Struthio camelus: one gene and its partners. The protein of the gene in region 1 interacts with the protein of each later gene in a pairwise test. Links are inferred from orthologs where the notes say so. Each region holds a gene or a part of one and is shown in the gene's direction. Other genes may lie near its edges. The genes, in order: CREB1, TSSK4 and CRTC1.

Region 1 (7,107 bases):
CATTAACAGAGAATTGGAAAGAAGGAGAGGGAACGGGGAAAAAAGGATAAATTAACGCATGAATCAAGCAAGAGACACTCAGACAGCTAAATTTGTTCTGCGCATTCTAAATATTTTCTTATATAAAGTACTTTACTCCCCATAAGAGGAGCACAAGGGCAGCTGAGCCTTTACGCTCTGATCTCAGAACCACTCCTTGACGTACAGTAGTTTTAGGAGTGATTTTAGCCGTACGCTGCTGACAGGATCAGCTATTAATCAAAGGAGCAACACAAGTCCAAAATAATGAGGGAGAGAAAAGGTCACGCTCTACTGTGCTATGCTGCAAACTTGGAGCTCCTGTTTGCAGACAGCTCAGACAGAAAAAAATGCAATAAAAGTGCAAAATGAGGTGTGGCCCAGCCATATTATGTGTTTTCAACAAAACAGTTTTTTATCAGTCCAACTTGAGCTGCTTGTTTTAAAAATGTCAGACACGGTTTATTTCAGTTTGTTTTCAAACAACTGAAATCAACAAAGCCAAAAGCAGAGCAAGCCCGTAGTCGCTGTCTGCATCATCTCTTTCGATTTTTTGACGGAGTTGGATGAAACTCCCTCTCAATAAAACTAGTTCAACCCTCTTGAGGAAAACAAGACTCAGCAAGAACAAGACTAGATTCACGTGGGCAACACTGTCTTTTGATGTGGTGTAAGTGGCGGGCTCTGCAGGGCCCACCTGGGCGGGTTATTGCCGTGCAGCGGCGTCTTGCGATAACGGCAGGCAGCCCTGGAGGAACGCGCCAACGACCCGGTGGTTGAAATGAACGGCATCTGGAGCTTCAAATCTTGTCATGCAGTGCCATCTCGAGGTTTCCTGGAACAAAATGGACTTTCTTCAAAACTACACGTAGTTTTTAATTGGTCCTACGAGCTCCAGATCTGCCCGTCTGCCCGCCGGAGATGTCCCCACTGCACGGGCACAGGGAGCTGCTCTCCCTCTGGCCGCAACCAAACGGGACCAACCAAAGCGGTGCCAGATAGCACGTGCCCTGCCCCGAGGTGTCCCCCCACCCCATGCCCCATGCCCCATGCGGGACCATCAGAGGAAAAGCCCAGCGAGAGCAGCTGGATGGTTTCCCTGCTGCGTCCCGGAGAGACCGTGGAGGCCACCAGAGCACGGAGGTCACCAGTGCGTGGAGGCCACCAGAGCGTGCAGGCCACTAGAGTGTGGAGGGCACTAGAGCGTGGAGGGTGCCAGGCTGGGCCCCACGAAGTCAGAGCCAGGCCGGGTGCCTCTCCCCGTCCCCACACCCCATCACTTGGGGGTCCCCGTCCTGGTGAAATCTATCTCTCTAGGAAGGGCGATGAAGCGCAGACGTGGCACCGGCAGGAGTGGACCCTCGCCTGGGAAGGGGCTGCTCTGAAGATCACGATTTGCGGCTCTGTCGCCTGGCTGGGCAGACAGCGTTCGTCCTTCTCGTGGCAGTTGGGGAAGGTTGGTTATGTGGATGGCGGCCAGGGAGGGTTGGTTACATGGAGCTCGGGGACTTCATGGCAGTGTTGGTGTTATGGTGGTGGGAGTGTTGCCCCGCGCCTGTGAGCTGCGGCGGCACCACCTGCTCGTGGGGCCGCCCCGGCTGGCCACGGCGCCAGAGCGAGCTGCAAGGCAGCCGCAAGGACAAGCTGGAAGAGCCAGGCTTGGAGGAGCAGCCTGAGGGACACATATGGGCATTTTGCCACGTTGAGAGGGCATGGGGAGGCCGGGCTGGGTGGAGGCCAGGCGGAGGCCATGGAGCGTTGAGGAGGGGTGAGAGGAGCCCATGCAACGCCAGGGCAGCAAGGAGGCCTCAGGATGGCACCACGTCCGCGATGTTGTGTGCAGAGCACATCCACCATGTCGTGCTTGTGGAGACTGTGTGCACCAGGTTGTTCCGGCAGACACCACGTCTGCCATGTCGTGTGCAGAGCATGTCTGCCATGTCGCGCTTGTGGAGACTACGTGTGCCAGGTCGTGCCTGCGGACATCACGTCCGCCATGTTGTGCGGAGAGCACGTCCGCCATGTCGTGCTTGTGGAGACCACGTCTGCCAGGTCATGCTGGCGGACACCACGTCTGCCATGTTGTGCGGAGAACGTGTCCGCCATGTCGTGCTTGTGGAGACCACGTCTGCCAGGTCATGCTGGCGGACACCACGTCCGCCATGTTGTGCGGAGAACGCGTCCGCCATGTCGTGCTTGTGGAGACCACGTCTGCCAGGTCGTGCTGGCGGACACCACGTCCACCATGTTGTGCGGAGAACGCGTCCGCCATGTCGTGCCTGTGGAGACCACGTCTGCCAGGTCGTGCTGGCGGACACCACGTCCGCCATGTTGTGCGGAGAACGCGTCCGCCATGTCGTGCCTGTGGAGACCACGTCTGCCAGGTCGTGCTGGCGGACACCACGTCCGCCATGTTGTGCGGAGAACGCGTCCGCCATGTCGTGCCTGTGGAGACCACGTCTGCCAGGTCATGCTGGCGGACACCACGTCCGCCATGTCGTGCTTGTGGAGACGATGTCTGCCACCTCGTGCTTGTGGAGACCATGAGGGGCGGCTGGAAGCCTTCCGGAAGGTGAGAACCGGGGACGGGGGGGCCCGCTGGGGCTGAGTTTTGGGAGGTTTGGGACAGCGCCACAGAGCAGCAGCTGGGCTGCCGGGGAGGCGACGAGCGCCCCTCTCCCGACGCGCGGGGCGGCGGTCGGGGTGTGCTGGGGGGGCCTCGCCCCTTCCACCGCGCCCGCGGAGGACGGAGGGGAGCGGCGGGAGCCCTCACCCCCCCTCCCCGCCGCGGCCCCGCTCGGCGCTTCCCGCGCGGGCTGCCGCGGGCGGAAGCGGCGTTCGCGCCTTCCGCGGCCGCTCGGCTCTTTCCGCCTCCCCGGCGGGGCGCTTCGTTCGTTTCCGCGGCCGCTCGGCTCTTTCCGCGGGGGCCGGCGGCGCGCTCGGCCGTTCCCGCCGCCCGCCGCGCGCTCGGCGGTTTCCGTGAGCGCTCGGCGGTTTCCGTGCGGGGCCGCGGCGCTCTCGGCGCTTGCTCCCTGGCTGGCGCTCCTCAGTCGGCCGCTGCCTGCCTGTCGCCGGGCTGGGAGCGCCTGTGTGTGTGTGAGTGACGCGGCGGAGGTGTAGTTTGACGCGGTGTGTTACGTGGGGGAGAGAATAAAACTGCGGCGAGATCCTAGGCGCGAACGAAAGCAGTGACGGAGCAGCCTGGTAACCGGTAAGAGGAGGAAGGCGCCCAGCAAACAGGGGCGGGGGGGAGGGAAGGAAATGGAGCCCGGCGGGGACCAGGGGGAGCCGCCGGGCGGCAGGACGCGGGGGCCCGGCCTTGCAGCGCCAGCGGGAGGGGCGCCCGCTTTAAAGATGGAGCCGAGCCCTGCAACATCCCCGCCGCCGCCGCGCCGCGAACAAAGGATAATGGCGGATGGGAGCCGGCCCCGGCGGCGGCGGCGGCCGCCACGGCCAGGCGGCGGCGGCGGCGACTCTGGCGGCAGCCAGCGGCGGCGCTCAGCGCGGCGGGGAGAGGGGGATCGCGCCCCCCGGCCCCGAGGAGGAGGAGGAGGAGGAGGAAGACGACGAGGGGGGAGAGAGGAGGAGGAGACGGCCGCGGCGGTGCCGCCGGCGGCGGCGGCTGCACACCCACCCTCTCCCCCCTCCGCGGCGGGGTGGCGGCCCCTGTCCCCCCCCCCCCAACCACCACCACACCGCCTCCACACAACTCCTCACGGGTCGTCTTCTTTATTCTTTTTTTTTTTTTAATTTTATTTTAATTCTTGTTTTCGCCTGGCTGTGGCCGGCGCAGGGCGAGCGCGGCCTCCTCGGCGGCTCGCTGCCGGCCGCCAGCCCTGGCCGGGGCCGCCTCGGCCGCCCACCCGCCCCCGCTGCCCCTTCTTTTTCCCCAGAGTTTCACTACCCGGCGACCTGAGCGTGCTGTGTCAATAAACAAACTCCTGCGATTAAAAACAAATCAAAAACAAAAAAGAAAACACCCCTCCCACCGCCACCACCACCACCGACAACAAAACACGCGGGGTGCTCCTAGGCGCTGTAACGTGCTCTCTTAGGCTCTGTAACAAGAAGTTTTTAATAAAAACCGTGCACTGAAGTTTGGGCCGGCATCTGACTTGGTGGTTTACTTTCATTGGAAGTGTCGGGGGCATGATCGTATGCGGAGGGCTGTAAAACCGGCGAACTTACTCGGTCACCCAACACCGCCTGCCGTTAAAATATAGGAGGGAAGATCTTTAAGGCTGACGCTCAGATCGCATAACCAAGATACGGTTCCTTTTTGCAGCGTGTTTCTTTCCTGTTAGTATTTTTAACTGAAAGTGAACTTGAGCCTGGCGGTGACCGGTTAATCTCAGTTTGGGGTTTGCTCTTGCCAGTTTTGCACAGACTCCTCAGCGCTGCACAAATGAGCAGGCTTTGACCTCTATCAGTGCTTTAATAGCAAATGTCAGCTAAACTGTCCTTGCCACGTTCCACCAGTCCTACCTTGCCTTTGACTGCTGCGCTGGGGGGCTTTCCCTCCCCGCCCCTTTATTGTCTAGCATAGAAGATACTGTTTTGACCTTATTTACTCTTGCAAAGCCTGGATTTCTGCATCTTTGTGCACAGTAATAAGTGAAAATGCTCTGGCAATCTCTCTTAAAAACGTATTTTTAACTAAAATTTTTTATGCCTGTCAAAAGTATATGCAAGGATTAAAAAAAATATGGGTCATGTGGCTTTTTCTTCCAAAAACACTTTTTTGGGTTTTTTTTTTCCCCTCCCCTCAAGAACTAGTTTCCTAACTCTTAAATAAAAGGCTAGAAACTTATTTGAAAATACTGAATATCTCTTTTCAATTCCAGTGTAACCACCAAGCATTATATTTTGAAATACTAGAGCTCCTGAAGTTCTGCTTCTCCCTTTCCCTGTGTCATCAAACGTAGGTTTTTACTCTAAAAGGTGAAGTTCCGGAAATGCCTTCTTTTATTCAAGATGGGCATGTGCGATTTGTGTAAGTGTCTAGATAGGCCTGTCCTTTCTCGCATGTGGAATTTGTTCTCTGTCGTTTCCACCACTTCTGTTGAAAAGAAAGCCAAGGTGTTCTACATCGCTTCACTCTGAAAAATACCAACGTGAGAAGAGGGTTTCTAAAGTTGCAATTGATTAATAGACATCTGTGGACTTCAGTGAGCAATGTAGCCATTGATAGTGATTAAACAGAACATAGTGTTTGGTGTAATTCATTCATTTTTGGTTTGATGGACTATTCACTTCATTTTAAATACAAAAATGTGACAGTAAACCTTTGCATGTCGTTATTTTGTAGCTTTAGAAACATAACATTTTGTTTATCCCCAAACCATTCTATTTCATGATAGAGCGCAGGACTCTCACATCAACATATTCTAACTCTTTCCCTGCGTTTCCCTGTAAACTTTGTATCCTCACTGACAGGAGAGAAAAGAGAGCAGGAAGGTAATGGTGTATTTGTCAAGCATAGCTTATGGGTGACCTAAAAAGAAATACTGTTTGGATGTAGGAAAGTAGAGTATAATAATTCTTCACGTTTTTTTAAATTTCATTGGTGGAACGACCAGTAATATTTGGCGTTCAGATTAGTACTCTCAGCTTTTGTATCCAAGTCTGGAATAAGTGGTCTGCATCTGATCTGTATTAAATACCCATTGTTTTCCCATATTTTTTGGAAAGGAAAGTGTAAGGGTGCCTACTACCCCAGGGGAGAGGAAAGGTCTGAAAGGAGAGAAAGGTCTGTTGATCCAAAAAATTCAGAAACAACTAATTTAGACTGTCAAGTCATCAGTCTATCTGCTTCCTGGAAACTTAACACCAGTGCAGCTATTGCTGGTACTGGTATCAAATATAAAATATTCTGTGGTACCTTATCTTAATCGGGAAAGTAGCTGTTCTGCTGCAGTAAGAAGTAAACAGCCTCTTCTTGCATAGCTTCAGCTACAGCTCTCGAGGTGCAAATTTTGGTAGTAGACAAGGCCCTGCCTAGGAATTTCTGTTGACACCCGTGTGAAACAAACGGGATATTCACACTTCACCTCTATTTTAGGATCTCTGTGAGCAAGTGGAGATCAGTTACTCATGCCTCACTTCTCAAGGCTTTTTTGCAGTGAGAAGGCCTAGCTAGCTTTCTGCCTGTAATTTAAAGTTATTTTCATGGAAAATGACAGTAATCCTCATCAACAAAAACAGCCCTCCTGGGCTTGGTTTGAGCTCTCCGGTGCCCTCTCTGCATACGGTTGAAGTTCCGTGACCATTCAGTGAAGTTTTTTTCTCTAAATCAAAAATTATGTTGCCTCATCTGCAGTCTATGTGGTCACGTTTCATGGTGATTATGAAAATCTGAGCGCTCTCAGCGGTTAGTGATTTTCTTTTCACTTCTCCCAGCTGTTAAGTTGTTCATACCTACTTTATTCTTAAGCTTTTAGACCACTTGATTGTACCACAAGTAAAAAAGTGAGTGAGAGTAAGCGCTGCACCTTCTGTTGTTGCACGTTTATAGAACAGTCTTGTGAGCTGTGGAGAAGGTGAAGACGTGCTTGGGTCTAGTAGCTCTTTTAGGAATGCTAGGTAAAGCAGCAGCTGGAAGCAGACGAGAAGCAGACAAGGATTTCCACATTTCATGCTGCTGCTGTTTTTTCTGGCGGTGCTGGATTTAGAGTATCCTGTGAGGAGCAGAGGAAAAAGAAAACAGCAGATGCTGGAAGAGCCTCTTAAGGGGAGAGGGTAAAGAACTTGGAGGAAGTTTATGTGTGTCTATATGTGTGTGTACACACATATATATGTATGTATGTATACACACACACACACATACATTTATGTATATATTTACATGTGTTTAAAATAGCATTAGATACAGGTTAGGTACGCTCAGTGATTTTGAGCAGACTGCCTAGGTAGAGCGTTTCTTTCACGCCTTAAGATGATAAGCATACCTACTTTTCTGACAAGAGTAGCGTGAGATTTGCTATTTGTCGTAAATCTGAGACCGTCAGGTGGAAGATGGAGTTCCAAAGATAGGAGAGTCCTGTCAATTGCTGTTCTGGACTTCATTACTTGTCAATTTAATCTCTGAGA
Region 2 (7,107 bases), on another chromosome or scaffold:
TACTTTGACTACAGCTGTCCAATTGAACTACAGATTTCTCCCTAGTCTTCATCAGCCTTACACATCTCCTGTCTCTGGTTCTCCCAATCAGAACATGTTCCAAGCACGTCTTGAGCACACAGGCTTCTACGGATGTAAAGTGGCACAGCTTGTTTGCCAAATTGCGGTATTTAAAAAAAAAAAAAAAAAGGCGCTTCCTTGGACATACATACGGCACTGTGCTGAAGCCAAGTCTCAGAATCCAAAACCACACCATTTAAATGCTAGATAAACTCAAAGACTACCAGAAAAGCTCTGGTTCACCCAAATTTCTACCAACTTTAGCAGAGCTAATCACAGTCTCACTTTCTGTTGAAGCAGCCCTGACGCAGGTAGCTTGGCAGCATCAAAACTGAGATCAGAAGGGTGTCTCTGTGCAGGTGGGAATGCAGACCCTCCCTTTTTGTGAGCAATGCTGTGCTCGGCAACAGGAAGGCTGTGATAACACAGGAGAACTGTTTCCTATCTAGTAGTTTACTCCTATTCTCTCAGATGCTGAACCAATTATTCCCTAGCCCCACTCCCCCAGAAAACGCCTCAAAAGAACAAGCTCCGTTTTCCTTGCTTCTCACCTCTTTCCTGCTCTGCCACAACAGAACAACAGTTTACCCTGCTTTGCTCTGACAGGAGCATGGAAGCTGCTCCAGTCCATCAGGCTTCTTCCTTCTCGATAAGGGCAGCTCTTCACTCTCTGCAGCCAACTTTACCACGCTCTGCCCAGCTCTATGAGCAGTGCTTGCCTTTTAGCATTGTGCCAAGTCTCTTTTTTGCAGGACTGTAGGGCACCCAAGTCATTCTGTCTCTTCCATTGCCATCATTCCCCTTGGACCAACTAACTTCATCTTAACTTTAACCTTTGCTACCATCTTGTCTGCGATTCCATAAAACCCTGGTGAGATAGCTCATCTGACAGATCAGCTTGAAGTAGGTGAAGCGAAGGAGGTTATTTTTCCTCAAAGATGAGTTGCACATGCATGCTGCTGCATCCAAAGTGAAATCCTTACCTCTTCTGAATTCTCTGCCCCACCATCCTTTCCGCTACTGCCACTGCCAGGCTTTGCAGTGCTTTTTGCAGACTTTGGAGACTCCTGGAACGATGAAAACGCGCTTAGAGAACGCTTCACCTTGCACAGCAATTTCCACCTCTCCGGGCATCGCTTCGCTTTGCTCCGTCACAGACCTCCCCCCACCGCCTCCGCAGTAAGTCGTGTTTTGTGCAGTAACTCCTCAAAAGGGCCCCCAGAGCCGCTTCCCTCCCTCGCCGCATCCGCCTTTGCCTCGCTGGGGGAACGAGCGGGAGCCGGGCCCGGCCCGCCCGGGGGGGGGGCGGCCAGCCGCCGTGCAAACCGAGCGCAGGCCAGCGCTACGCACGGTTATGCAACAGCAACCTGCTCCCGGTACCCCGGCGCCAGCGGGCACCGGGCACAGGCCCGGGCCTCCGCTCGCCGGGGCGGCCCCGGGACTGGGGCAGGGCCGAGGCCGCGGCCCGCCGCCCCCGCGCAGGGCCCGGGACGCCGGTAAGGCCCCCGCGCCGCCCGGGGCCAGGCCCGCACCGGCGGGGGGGAGGGGGGGGGGAACCGGGGCCTCCGCGCGCGCGCGCCCCCGCCGCCCTCCTGCACCAGCCGCCCCGCCCGCCCGCCCCGCGGCGCGCGCCCCCGCCCCCTGCCGGCCGCAGCCCCGCGCGCGCCCCCGCCCAACGGCCGCGCTGAGGGAAGGCCGCGGGCGGCAGAGGGAGGGAGGGAGGGAGCGGGCGGGCGCGCCGCAGCCCCCGGCCGGCCTCAGGGCGGCGAGCCGCCGCCGCCGCCCCTCCCTGCCGCCGCCGCACCTTCTCCTTCTTGAGCTTGTAGGGCATGGTGAGCGCCGGGGCCCGGCCCGGCCCAGCCGCGCCGCGCCGCTCCCGCCGCCGCCGCCGCCGCCGCCTGCGCCCGGGCCCGGCCGCAGCGCCCCGCTCCCATTGGGCGCACCGCGCATGCCTGCCCAGCAACTACCGCCGCCGCCGCCGCTCATTGGGCGGCGGCAGGTTTTTTTTTTCTCATTGGCCGTCAGGCGCCGGGGCGGGCCGAGCGGCGGCGCCGCGCATTGGGCGGCGGCGGCGGCGGCGGCCACGCCCCCACCGCGGGGAGGGGGCGGGGCACGGCGGGGCTCCCCGTCGGGGTCCGGCTGCGGCCCTCGCCCCCCGCCAACGCCGCCTCCCCCTCCCCCTCTCGGGGGGTCTCGCGCTGGCTCCTGCTGCCCGAATTGCCCTGCGGTCTCTCTGGCCGGCGGTCACGAATTAAGCCCCTGCCCCAATTAACAGCCCCGCGGGGCTCAGAGCGCCCCCAAAACCAACCGCCCCCCCCCATCTACCATCTCCACAGCAGCCGGGGGGGGGGGGAACTTGGGGGTTGTGATGTCACCAGTGGGGGGAATCCCCAAGGTTGTGACGTCACCAAGGGGGGGAACCCCCAGGGCTGTAGGCGGAGGGGAGCAGCTGGAAGGAGGAGAAGGGGGCTGGGAGGGCACAGCAGTTGGGGGGCTGGTTCCCGCCGGGGGGGCCCCGAGGCCCTGCTCCACCCGGCAGGTTCGCTGCCTGCGGGCATGGCCGAGGCGGCCCCCCTTGCCACCCCGGCAGTGCTGCAGCAGTTCAGCTACCAACTGGAGCAGATGCTGGGCCACAGCACCTACGGGAAGGTGTACAAGGCTGTGGCCCGCCGGCAGCAGGCCCGGGTTGCCATCAAAGTCATCTCCAAAAGAAAGGCACCGGAGGAATATCTCCGAGAGCTCCTGCCCCATCACATCCAGGCAGGGGGGACGGGAGAGCATTGGGGAGCAGGGGGGATTGGAGAGGCATTGGAGAGAGCCAGTAGGGTAGGGGGGCTCAGGGGCATTGTCAGGTGCCATGGGACAAGGTGGGCCTTGGGGGGGCATCCAGGAGCTACATGGGGCCAGGGGCACTGGGTGCAGGAGATGCAGCATTTTGCGGGGGCAGCGGCAATCCAAGGGGGGCTCTCCGGGGCAGACCTGCCCCCCGCTAGCCCCTCCCTGCCTGCAGGTATTGAAGGGGCTGCACCACAAGCATCTCATCACCCTCTACCAGGCCATCGAGACCACGGCGCGGTACTACATCATCATGGAGCTGGCACCGTTGGGGAACGTCCTTCAGCGGGTGCAGAGCCAGGGGCCCTGCCCCGAGCACCTGGCGGGACACTGGTTCTCCCAGCTGGTCCTCTGCCTGGCCTACCTCCACAGCAGGGCCATCGTCCACCGGTGGGCAAGCACCGGGGCAACAGGGTCCCCGCTGCGGCGCCGGGGGGAGGGCCCCCTCTGTCTCCTACCTACTGCCTGTCTGCTCCCGCACCACCCTCTGCCCCATAGCCCACACCTGCCTCCCACACCTCCGTTTGCTCCGAAACCCCCATATCCGCCCTGTTGACCCCACGCCACCCATATCTGACCTCCACAGCCTGTCTGCCCCACACTTCCCCCACCTGCCCCACAGCCCCCTTATCTGCCCCCACACCACCTATCTGACCCCCAACTGCCCCCAAACTTCCCTATCTGCCCCACAGCTCATCTCTGTGTCCCCTACTTGCCCTACGCACCCTGATTCTGACCTCCAAAGCCTCTGTTTGCCCCCACGCCTACCTAACCCACTGCACCCTTATCTGCTCTCCACACTGTCCTCTGCCCCATAGACACCCCCCACCCCGCGTTTCCCCTAGGGACCTGAAGCTGGAGAACCTCCTCCTGGACTGCCAGGACAACGTGAAGATCTCCATCTTCGGCTTCCCCCGGAAGGTGGCCCTGGAGGAGGCCAACGGGGAGTCCCTGGGGGCTTCCACCTCTGGGGGGGTGCCCGCTGGGGGGGTGCTGAGCCAGACCTTCTGTGGATCGTACGCCTACGCCTGCCCCAGGATCCTGCAGGCGCAGGCCTACGACCCCTTCCTGGCGGACACCTGGAGCGCTGGCGTCATCCTCTACGCCTTGCTCCTGGGCCGCCTGCCCTTCGACGACACCAACCTGCGGCGCCTCCTGCAGCAGATCCAGCAGCCTCTCGTCTTCCCCTCGTGGCAGCCCCTGCCCCAGGACTGCAAGGTGGGGCTGGGGGGTGGCCGGGTGCACCAAGGGGCATTAGAGGGCGCGTGGGGGCAGCAGCAGATGGGGGGCAGCTCTGCAGCGCAGAGGGGAGCTGGGGGCCTGGGGGGGCTTCGAGGGCCATCTGGAGGGTACTGGAGGGGCGCCGTGGGGGCAGTAGGGGAGCTAGAGGGCCTTGAGGCGCGCCGGCGGCCGGAGGGCAGCCGGGGGACACCCGGAGGCAGCGGGGGCCCGGGGGTCTCCCAGCTGACGGGGGCCCCTCCAGGCCTCGGGAGAGGCCGCGGGGCCCTCCCCCACTGCCGTGTCCCCCAGGACGTGATCCTGCGCCTGCTGTGCCCGGCCTCGCAGCGCCTCTCGGCCCGGCAGCTCCTGCAGACCCCCTGGGTCTCTCGCTTCCTGCCCCCGGCCCCCCCGGGCGACCTGCCCTCTGCCACAGAGGCCCCTCAGACATAACCCTCCAGCCGCAGTTTTGGGGACCCCCCCCCCGCTTCGGAAGACCTCTAATAAAAGCCTTGAGCCCTCCTTCGGCTCCCTTCTTCCTTGGGGACACCCCTGTAAGGGGGGGCCCTGCAAGAGGCGCCCTCCCCGTTTACTGTGGGCGCCCCCGAGCCCTGCGCAACGGGGGCCCCTTTTCCGGTGACCCCCCCTCCACAGGATGGTTTAGCCCTCCCCTCCCCCCGCATCGGGCAGTGGTCCAGCCCGACCCGCTCCCCCTCCCGCGGGCGATGGTCCAGCCCCGCCGCCGCTGACTTCGCCCGAGAGCGCCAACCCCCCCCCCACCCCGGGGACGTGACGGCCCTTAAAAGGGCCACGCGCAGCTGGGCGGGGCCCCGGGATTCTCTTAAGGGGGGAACGTCCCCCTTCGGCTCCCAGATGGCGCCAAGGGGGCGGGGCGCCGGGGCGGGGGCGGGGCGCCGGGCCGGGGGGCGGGGCCAGGGCGGCCCGCGGCCCCCACGCGCGGCGCTGGGTCTCGCGCGCGCTCGCGGCTGCCCGCTGTGCGGCGCCGAGAGCTGCGGCCCCGCTTGCAGCGCCGCGGCCGCTGTTTCAGCCTTGCCTCTGCAGATCCTTAGCGGCCGGCCGCCGACTCCTGGTCGGCCCCAGACCGCAGGGCGCCTTAGGGCGCCGCGAGGATTCGTTCCCCTTACCGTCGGCGCTTTGACGGCGAGCGCTTGTCTCGGGTGCTCCAAGGCCACGCCGACACGGAAGAACGGCCAGCTGGCCTTCGGTTGTCCCTCTCGCCGCTGTGCGTGCTCCTTGGGGCGCGTGGGCCGGCCTGCTGAGCGCTTGGGCCTCCCTCGCTGGTTCGGCATCGCTCTTCTGCGCGCAGCTTTGGGAAGAAAATACCCGTTCCAGAGGAAACGTTATTTCGTGTTGATAGGTTACACAGGTATTTTGGCATTCGTTTTTAACAGGTTGCTCAGAAACTACGCAGCAGTTCTACCACAAAGCTAAATAAATCGAAATTGTAAATTAAGTACCTAAATTAATGTAAGTCCTATAATGGTTTTATCTTTGCTGATTTTATAATCAGTTGCGCAAAGTAGCTCAAGAAGCCTGAATGCTAGGTAAGAGCACAGAGCTACCATTTCAGAAGACCAGAAAACTCGGAAGAGCGCTACTGGTATCCCTAAAGCAGCACCAAATTTCCAGATGAGAAGCTGCGTTTCGACAGCAAGGGAATGGGGTTTCTTGCTGCTTGACCAGAAACTTTACAAAAGAGGAAAAAAAAACCACTAGTATTTTTAATTGAATTTATTGATACAGCATGAGCATCCCTGTCCAACTAATTGCTTACTTTTCCCTCTAAAAGCTTGCTTGGCAGTGAACCGCTTCCCAGCCTTACCTGAGGTCCAGTGAAATGTTGTCCTTGCCCTTGGTGGAACCATTTTTTCCCTTTCCTTGACAGCATGAGGTACTCGTGTCTCTGACCCACTTCAATTTTCTCCTCTAACTCCTTCTTTCAAATGGAGTTCACACCTTGAAAGAGAAATTGGTTACAAACAGAAAACGCAGACAACAAGCAGCTGTATTTGATAATCTCCTTCTACATGGAAACTGATGCCAACGCCAGCTGTATTGTTTGCTAGCCTCAGGGTCATAATATGTGAACCCTTTAATTGTACACATCTCTGCAAGCCAGTATAACTGATTTATGATCAGTTGTGCATCTGACGGGTGTCTGATTCATGTGTATAAATCGATCTAACCTGCAGTTTTCCTTCACTAATGCTGAAAAAGTCAGCATCCTCATTTATTCTCTTCAAACCTGATTTCTTGTAAAGGCATACACCTGTGTAGGCATGAGCAGTTGTGAACTGTGAATTACACAAGAAAAAAACGCTAAGAAGTGATAACGCTGTGATTTTGTAAAAGTCGAAAGTGAAAAAGTGTGTTGGGGGCAGGCAGCCTGCAAAACGGAGGAACTACTTTCCCTTTGATCACTGTGCTTCGAGTTTATTTTTAATGAATTCTTATTTGGACCCAGCCAGTGAACTCAAACCCTGGGAGACATTTCCCCTGCTTGGAGAATGGATTTAGGTGCCTTGCAGTAATAAACTCCCTCTCTACCCCATTTCATGTCTTCTTTTCTACATGGATGTGATGTATCTGCGTGAGAAATTCCATTTGAAAGACCTGAGAATGTAACTGTGTGTAACTATCGTCTATAACGCTTGGCTAAGCACCCGGGGTCCCAGGAAGAAGCTCATGACTCAGTCCTCCATAGATAGTTAACAAAGCGAAGCCTTGAAGAAAGGAGCAAGATGACACCGTAAGTCGGCCAGATAAGGGAGCATCCAAATGAGCTTGAAGAGAACAAGGACGGGTGATAAACCCAAGAGAACTGCCGGGACTAGGGGTGACCTCTCCTCGTTAGCATAGCCAAGAACCCACCCATGAGCAGGGAAGCCCCCTCACAACCAAAGCCCCATCCCCATGCGTGGTAGAAAAGAAGGATGCTGTAACTTCATCTGTAACGAAGATGAGGCCTAGCAG
Region 3 (7,107 bases), on another chromosome or scaffold:
AGCAAAAAACAATTTAGTTGAAGGGTATCTTGGTGTTAATCTTAAGACTACATGCTTTTAGCATGACAGGCCAGTTTTGCAGGTCAAATGCTGTTCACGTACACAGCTAGCGAGTATTTAACTGAACACGCGTGCTGATTGTTTACTCCTGGTAAGCAATGCAAGAGGCTAGACTAACGTCTGTCAGGAATGACACGGGTATGGCTGATCCTGCAAGGGGGTGGCCTAGATGATCTTTCACGTCTCAGCTGTGCTTTCTGCGATGGTATCTCTTATCACTTTATAAACACTTTACATGCAAATTGGCAACTAGGATTTAGGGTAGGATGCGACTTTGTTGCTAGCACTAGTCCTGACAGTTGGTGCTGCGCTGAGTTTCATCCATCCATCTTCCAACAGCCTTGCAGTGGTGGATAATTATAATCTCTTAGGTGGGCAGGAAATGCTTATAAATGACTGGTAAACTGACTAAAACAAGGCCACTGAGGTGATCAGTAGTAGAAGAGAGAGCAGAGTCTAATTTCTTTATCTGACAGTTCAACCATTAGAGGATTCAGTTACTGGAGTAAGCACTGTTCAGGGGCAGAGTCATCACTGAAAAAGAAGAGCTCCCGCTTTACCTCTGTTGCTTCATAAAAAAAGAAAGTGTAAAGGCCAGTGCGTGGGTGTTGGGAAACAGTACTGTCAGGATTTATTAGTGTCTAATGTGTGTGGCTTGCATATCACAGTGCTTTGCACCAATCTGATGCGAACACAGCTGGAATCGGTGGCTTAGCAGCCTAAGCTTGTGTTTTGAAATGTCTGCGCTCCCTGGAACTGCCCGCACGCATCCCGGCAGGGTCATCGCTGCCTGTCGTCCTGTCCTTACACCAGATATACCGCGTCCCACACATTGCCGGCTCTGTCGTCCAAGGTCCTGACCGCTCGGGGTGGAAATTCAAGGCTCTGGTGCCCTGGCTCCACGTCCTGGTAGAGCTGTGTGTGCAGAATAGCACGGGAGAGGGGCAGATGCAGGTGCAAGCGGGAGGAGCGGCACACGCTTGGAGGACTTTTGCCAGTGAAAGCGTGCTTGCACGGGAAGAATGCAACGTTTTGCTCTGTGTCGTTTACAACAGCACTGTGGTAGCATCTTCTTGCTACTGGACATCGCACTGAAACGTCCTAGGGAAACAGAAGCCTTTTCTGATTCCCAAACCTTTGCCAGGAACCCACTTCCTTAGTATCTTGCGACTAAATTTCTGCTGTACATACATCACTTTTCTTACAGCTTCACATGTCTTCTGTTGCACGAAGAGGCAGCGACCAGAGAGCAGGAACTGTTGCTTAAGAGACTCGCTCATTAATTCTCGTTCTCCTCTCCTTTTCCTTCTCTACTGCTCCGTCTGAGCGCTGGCAGGCGGCTGAGCAGGAGCTGGGTATCTTTTCCACTCCGTGTCTCAACAGGGGCCTGATGTGTGCGAGCAGCTGAGAGAATAGCTGGTTGCGTCTGAAGAAAAAGCCCACTGAAATAAACCACTGACCTCTCCACAGACAGGAAAAATAAGAGGAAACGGGAAAAGTTGAGATTTTTAACTTGCCGGCTAAAAACTTTAATTTTTTTTTTTTGTTTTAAGAGATTTATTCCCCACTTCAGGGCAGGAGTGTGATAGCCGAGTGCTCGTTGGGGGCGCACACTCACATCACCCCCCCCTCCACTTTTAGCATCACCTTTTCCAGCCAGCTCCGTTACCAGGCTCCCTGCGTTACGCAGAGCACAGAGGGGGGTTTCCCCTACCACGAGCGGGGCGGGGACATTAACGAATATGGGAAATTTCAGGAAAAAGAGGGGACGAAGGTGCCCGGAGCGGCCGCGGGACGCGGGGGCAGCCGGCGGCGAGGCATCACCTCAGGGCGGCCGGCGCGCAACGCGCATGCGCGCCCGCTCCCCGCGCACGTCCACGGGGGAAGCCCCTCTTCCGCGCATGCGCCCCCGCGCCTCTGGCCTCCCCCCCCCGCCTCCCGCTTCCAGCGTCGCCCGCCTCCTCCCGCTCGCGCCGCCGCTGGCCTCGCGCATGCGCCCCGCCGCCGCCTCGCCACCCCCTCCCTCCCGCCCGGCGCCGCCGGCGCGCAGGCGCCTTGCGCACCCCCGCCCGCCCGCCCGGCCTGCCCGCCCGGCGCATGCGCCTCGCCCCCTCCGGCGCGGGGAGGGGGATGCGGACGGGGGAAGATGGCGGCCTCGAACAACCCGCGGAAATTCAGCGAGAAGATCGCGCTGCACAACCAGAAGCAGGCGGAGGAGACGGCGGCCTTCGAGGAGGTCATGAAGGACCTGAGCCTGACCCGCGCCCACAGGGTGAGCGAGCGCCGCCGCCCGCCGCGCCTCCCCCCCCCCCGCCCGCCCGCCCCCGGCGGAGGCGGAGGTGGAGGCGGGCGGGGGAGGGGCGGCGCCCCCCGCGGCTCCCCTCAGCCCCGGGGGCAGCGGCGCGGCGGGCGGGTGGGGGGGCAGCGCCCCCTGGCGGGGGCAGTTGGCGCCCTCCGCCCCGCTCCGCTCCGGGGTGGGGGGCGGCGGGGGCGGCCGGGGCCGAGAGGGGCCGCAGCATCCTCCGCAGAGCGGCACCTGCCGCCGCCCGGCCCGGCCCGCGGCGGGGGGGAAGGTGCCCTCTCCGCTGCCCCCGGGGCAGGCCCCGGTTTTTGAGGCGGCTCCCTGCCCCCCCATCCCACCCGTTTCAGGCCTTGTTTTTTGGGGGGAGAGGAGGGGGCTGTCCCTGCCCCCCCCCCCATTTAAGGCCCTTGTTTTGGGAGGGGTGTCCCTGCTCCCCTATTGCAGGCCCCGGTTTTGAGGGGGGGTTGCCCCTGCTCCCCCGTTGCAGGTCTCGATTTTGAGGGAGGGGTGTCCCTGCTCGCCTATTTTAGGCCCTGATTTTTGAGGGGGGGTTTGCCCTTGCTCCCCTGTTGCAGGCCTTGATTTTTGGGGGGGGTTGCCCTTGCTCCCCTATTGCAGGCCCTGATTTTTGAGGGGGGGGTGTCCCTGCTCCCCTATTGCAGGCCCCGATTTTGGGAGGGGGGGTATCCCTGCTGCCCTGTGGCAGGTGTGGTTCTGGGGGGGCCCCTCTCTCCCGAGGCACGGGCAGGGGAACCCCCTCACTTCTCCGCTGGGAGAAGCCCAGGTCAGGACCCGCTGCCCCAAGGCAGCGTGTGGTGGTGGGGAGCTCCTCTCCCCTGGGACAGACCCAGATTTTGGGGGGGGAAGGGGGGGAGTTCCAGCCTCACTCCTGCCCGTGTCGGGGGCCGCTTCCCTCGGCGCGGCCTGGAGCATCCCCTGCCCTGCCAGTGCAGCGCCCGGCTGAGGTCCCTGCCCCAAGCTGCTTGCAGGTAAACCCACGCCGTCCTGGCTCGGGGGGCGTGCGGGGTGCGGAGAAAGCGCCTGCGGGCGTGCGGGGACGCTGAGGGAGCTGCTGGGCTTAGTGTCACTGCTGTTGTTCCTGTTATACTCCAGTTGTCACCGGTGCAAATTGCTGCACTTCCAAATTGTTCTCGGCTTACAATGTCTCTGCAAACTGCTTCATTAGAGCTTAGTGGTGTAATAAATGCATTTTCCCAAACTTCAGATGCGTTTTCTGGTTTAGGTCTGCGTTTCAGAGCTTTTCTATATGGTTCTTGTCTCACCTGCTTGTGTCAATATTTTTGTTTCTGTTTTAATTGTTTAAAGAAAATTTACAAGCTTGTTTGTGGTTGCATGCTCGCAGGAATGGGAACAAGAGAACAGAGTTGAATTTGCAGTAAAATGTTTCCTTTTATTCCTCTGTGTCAGAATAGGGTAAATATTTGATTTGCATTCATGCTGCTGCTGGTCAGACACAAAACAAAGGCATGCTAATTCTGTCAGTGTGGCTTGGTAAGGTGTAAGGTTGAAGCTTTGTTTGTGCTAAACTGTTGATATTTCACAGAGGATGCTGCCTGTAGTTACTATTACAGTTGAGAGCATGCTGAGAACAATTCAGTGAACGTTTGCAGTTGCTGGACTCTCCTTGTTTCTTGAACCTGTTATACTTGTGTAGCTCAGTACCTCAGGTTTTTAGCCTTTTGATCATCGATCCTTGGATACCACTCAAGAGCTGGATATTTCTAAGGGAGAGAGTTCTTGACATCTGCAATTACAGATTGTCCTTTAATTAACTCTTACTGTTTAGCATTCACCTTCTTCAGGGTGAGGAGGTTCATATGTCAGAATCCTAGTTCAGGTTCTCCCAAGCTGAGCATTCCTAATCTAAGTTTGGCAGATGAAACTCCTCTTATTTTCAGGAACCTGGTATTGAGAAAGGACCCAAGATGAATAAGTTGTCTGAGGATTCTGGGTACTGAAGTGATGGAAATACTGACCAAATAGCTGAATAAAATGTCTCCTTTGTAGACTTTTTCTTCTAAATTCCATGATTTCATCTGTGTTCAAAATGCAGTATAAAAGCAAAAAGGGGTTAAGCACAACTTTGCTCTCATTTTCATTTGGCAACCAACACTTTGCTGTCAGTTTGAAAATGCGTTACTCAGTTTGTGGAAGCAGCCCAAAATTTCTGTTGCCTTTTCATTATTAGTAATTGTCTTTTTGCAATGTTTACCATCTTGTCTGTTTTATTGTTAGTTACTGGTCATAGCAGCGGCAGAGAACTACTGTTCCACCATTTCTTGTGCATACACATGTTTTTGAGCTTTCTTTCTGACTTGGTAGTCTTCCACCTATTTATGTTGTTCAGTCCATCTGAGATTTTTAAGTTATGATGCATCTTTCTTGCCTGGTATAAAGCAGAGCGTGATATTAACTCCTCTTTTCTCTATTACCCTCACCATACTCATGGAAAAAAATTTCCCTTGAAAATTAGATCACTTTGATTTCAGAGATGTTCTCCTGAGTCCCATCTTTCAGCCGGCAAATTCAAGAATGCATTTTAGGTTTTCTGGGGGAGACAGAGCTTGGAAAGAGTCTGGGTGGCTGATAGAAGCACTGGATCTGGCTAATTGTCTTGTGAGCGGGACCTTGATGTTTATAATCCAGAGGTTTCTGGGAGTCCCATAGTGACAAAGTAGCTGAAAAGAGGAGGAGTTCTTTTCTCTGTGACATTGACTCCTATATTGTGCTTATGGGCCTGCTCCTTTCCGTTGTTGTTTAAAGCACGAACTTCTGGAACATCTTCTTGTGCTGATTTCTGTTTCAAGAATGGGTTGTTTACCAGGGCCTGCTCTCAGCAGAGCCCAGTGATGCTTGCTACATTGCATGTTATTTCCTTACGCAAGGCTGTAGCTCCCTCTAAAATTGTATTTAACAAAACACTAACATACAAGATAGCACAAATAGTGTTGAGTAACCACAAATGGCTCCTCAAATGCTAGAGAGTTCAAGATTTTAAAAAAAACTTGGGCACAGCTTGTGACCTGCATTTTTAAGGTGATTCTTATCCAGTTAGAAATGCTCTCAAGACTCCAGTTTTTCTTTTATATATTGTTAAAGTCACTTGGTTTTGAGGGATTTGAGCCAGAGCTGTGTTTGAGCTCCCTCTTATGGACTTTGCAGATTTACCTAAGAGAAAGACCCCCCCTCCTTCCTCAAGCCCCTGACCCTGAAACACCTGAGCCCCCAGTTACCCCCCACCCCCAAACTGGCTGGAGAGCTGTGCTGCTGTTGGTGATGGCTGGAACGTAGAGGGGGAGGGAAACAAATCAGGTTAATGGTAATGTTTGGAAATATTCTGCAAAATTCCAGCACTGCTTGTATAATCTTCTCATGTATGCGAAGCCCCCACGCAGGCAACTTGTGGAAGGTGTTTCGGTGAGCCTTCCTACTCATAACAGCACTCCTCTTAAGAGGACCTCTAAGAAGGTATATTCCTCCTTGACACACAATGTGGTTTTTGTGTTTCAAAGTACATATTCAATGCCCTGTCAGTCTACGTGGTGCTGCCTGACAGTGTTTGCCTGCATCTTTTAGGTGTTATCAAAAGTTGTGTATGCCTGTGTTGCTTTTTCAATTTATTGAAATCTATGTTGAGTAAAAAGTCAGCGTTCATATTTTAAACCTGAATATGAAGATCCAATTTTAGTTTAATTTTTTCAAGATTAAATGGAATATACTATAAAAGCATAGCTATCCATATATAGCCATTTAACTGAAGTGAAATTAAATGAAAATCAAGTGAAAAAATTCATAGTTTGTACTCATATGCGTATTATATATGTGTGTGTATATATATATGCGCACAGGCACACGTCTCTTCGGAATTTGTACTTATGAGTGAAACAATTGCTCTGCTTTTGTATTTGTTTCTATCTGCTGCAGAATGTCTCTTTGTACGTTCACAGATCATACAGTTAAATGTAGATACTATGCAAAACAGTATTTAAAAGCTTAGTTAAATCAGGAATGCTAATCTGTACTTTAAAAAATGATAAATATTAATGATACAGTGTCGCAATGATTCCTAATGTATTCAGAATTTTACTAAATAATTTGATTTAAAAAAAACTCCTGAGTAGGTAATAGTATTTTTGTATGCCTAAAAGATATTAAAGAAATGCATCAAAATCGGGACTGCTCTGCAAGCATGGAGGTTAATACTTTCCACTGGAAGTAGTTTTATTCAAGTCAATAGTATTGTGAGTTTCTCCAAAATGGAAATATTAATGTTGACTTCTAGCTCTATACAGTTTTGTGTTTGTTTTTGTTGTTTCTTTCTCAAATGCAGGGTTTGGACCCTGTATTTGCACGTTTTCAGGCTAAGAAATAGGTCGCTTAAGTTTTGCCCATAATCTTCCCCTAAATAAACTGATGAAGTGGGACACAGAACGAGGCCTTGACGCTGTGGTTGACTCTTTGTGGATTGCCCCTGCTCTTCTCTGTTGCCCTCCTGAAGTCGGTTAGCTTCCATGCAGGCAAAGATGTTATCCATGTTGCAGCGTCTATACTGCTGGCTGCGGGCGTGTTTGTTCTTTTGATACACACGGGTATAAGGCAAGTAATTGAACTGAATGTACTGAAATAATGGCGCTGTGTCATTAATTCTTTGAAAGAATTATTGTAAATCAGACAGTGAAATGTAAAGATGAACTGCCCACAAGGGCACAAAGAAGCTCTGTTCT

Evidence for each region.
Region 2: the proteins of CREB1 (region 1) and TSSK4 interact in binary tests that used the Homo sapiens proteins (3 or more experiments, as listed by UniProt). The link is inferred for Struthio camelus from reciprocal best matches to the Homo sapiens genes CREB1 and TSSK4.
Region 3: the proteins of CREB1 (region 1) and CRTC1 interact in binary tests that used the Homo sapiens proteins (3 or more experiments, as listed by UniProt). The link is inferred for Struthio camelus from reciprocal best matches to the Homo sapiens genes CREB1 and CRTC1.

Annotation. Positions count from the first base shown.
Region 1 is NC_090947.1:9,437,234-9,444,340, forward strand, and holds the start of CREB1 (cyclic AMP-responsive element-binding protein 1), read left to right. Parts: upstream 1-2,841; 5' UTR 2,842-3,229; intron 3,230-7,107.
Region 2 is NC_090944.1:147,919,724-147,926,830, reverse strand, and holds TSSK4 (testis-specific serine/threonine-protein kinase 4), read left to right. Parts: upstream 1-2,616; coding exon 2,617-2,820; intron 2,821-3,070; coding exon 3,071-3,285; intron 3,286-3,740; coding exon 3,741-4,113; intron 4,114-4,425; coding exon 4,426-4,566; 3' UTR 4,567-4,635; downstream 4,636-7,107. Other genes in the region: PPP2R5D (serine/threonine-protein phosphatase 2A 56 kDa regulatory subunit delta isoform), read right to left, coding at 1,044-1,127, 1,865-1,891. UniProt on the Homo sapiens protein: Serine/threonine kinase which is involved in male germ cell development and in mature sperm function. May be involved in the Cre/Creb signaling pathway. Phosphorylates CREB1 on 'Ser-133' in vitro and can stimulate Cre/Creb pathway in cells.
Region 3 is NC_090967.1:5,979,268-5,986,374, forward strand, and holds the start of CRTC1 (CREB-regulated transcription coactivator 1), read left to right. Parts: upstream 1-2,135; 5' UTR 2,136-2,206; coding exon 2,207-2,332; intron 2,333-7,107. UniProt on the Homo sapiens protein: Transcriptional coactivator for CREB1 which activates transcription through both consensus and variant cAMP response element (CRE) sites.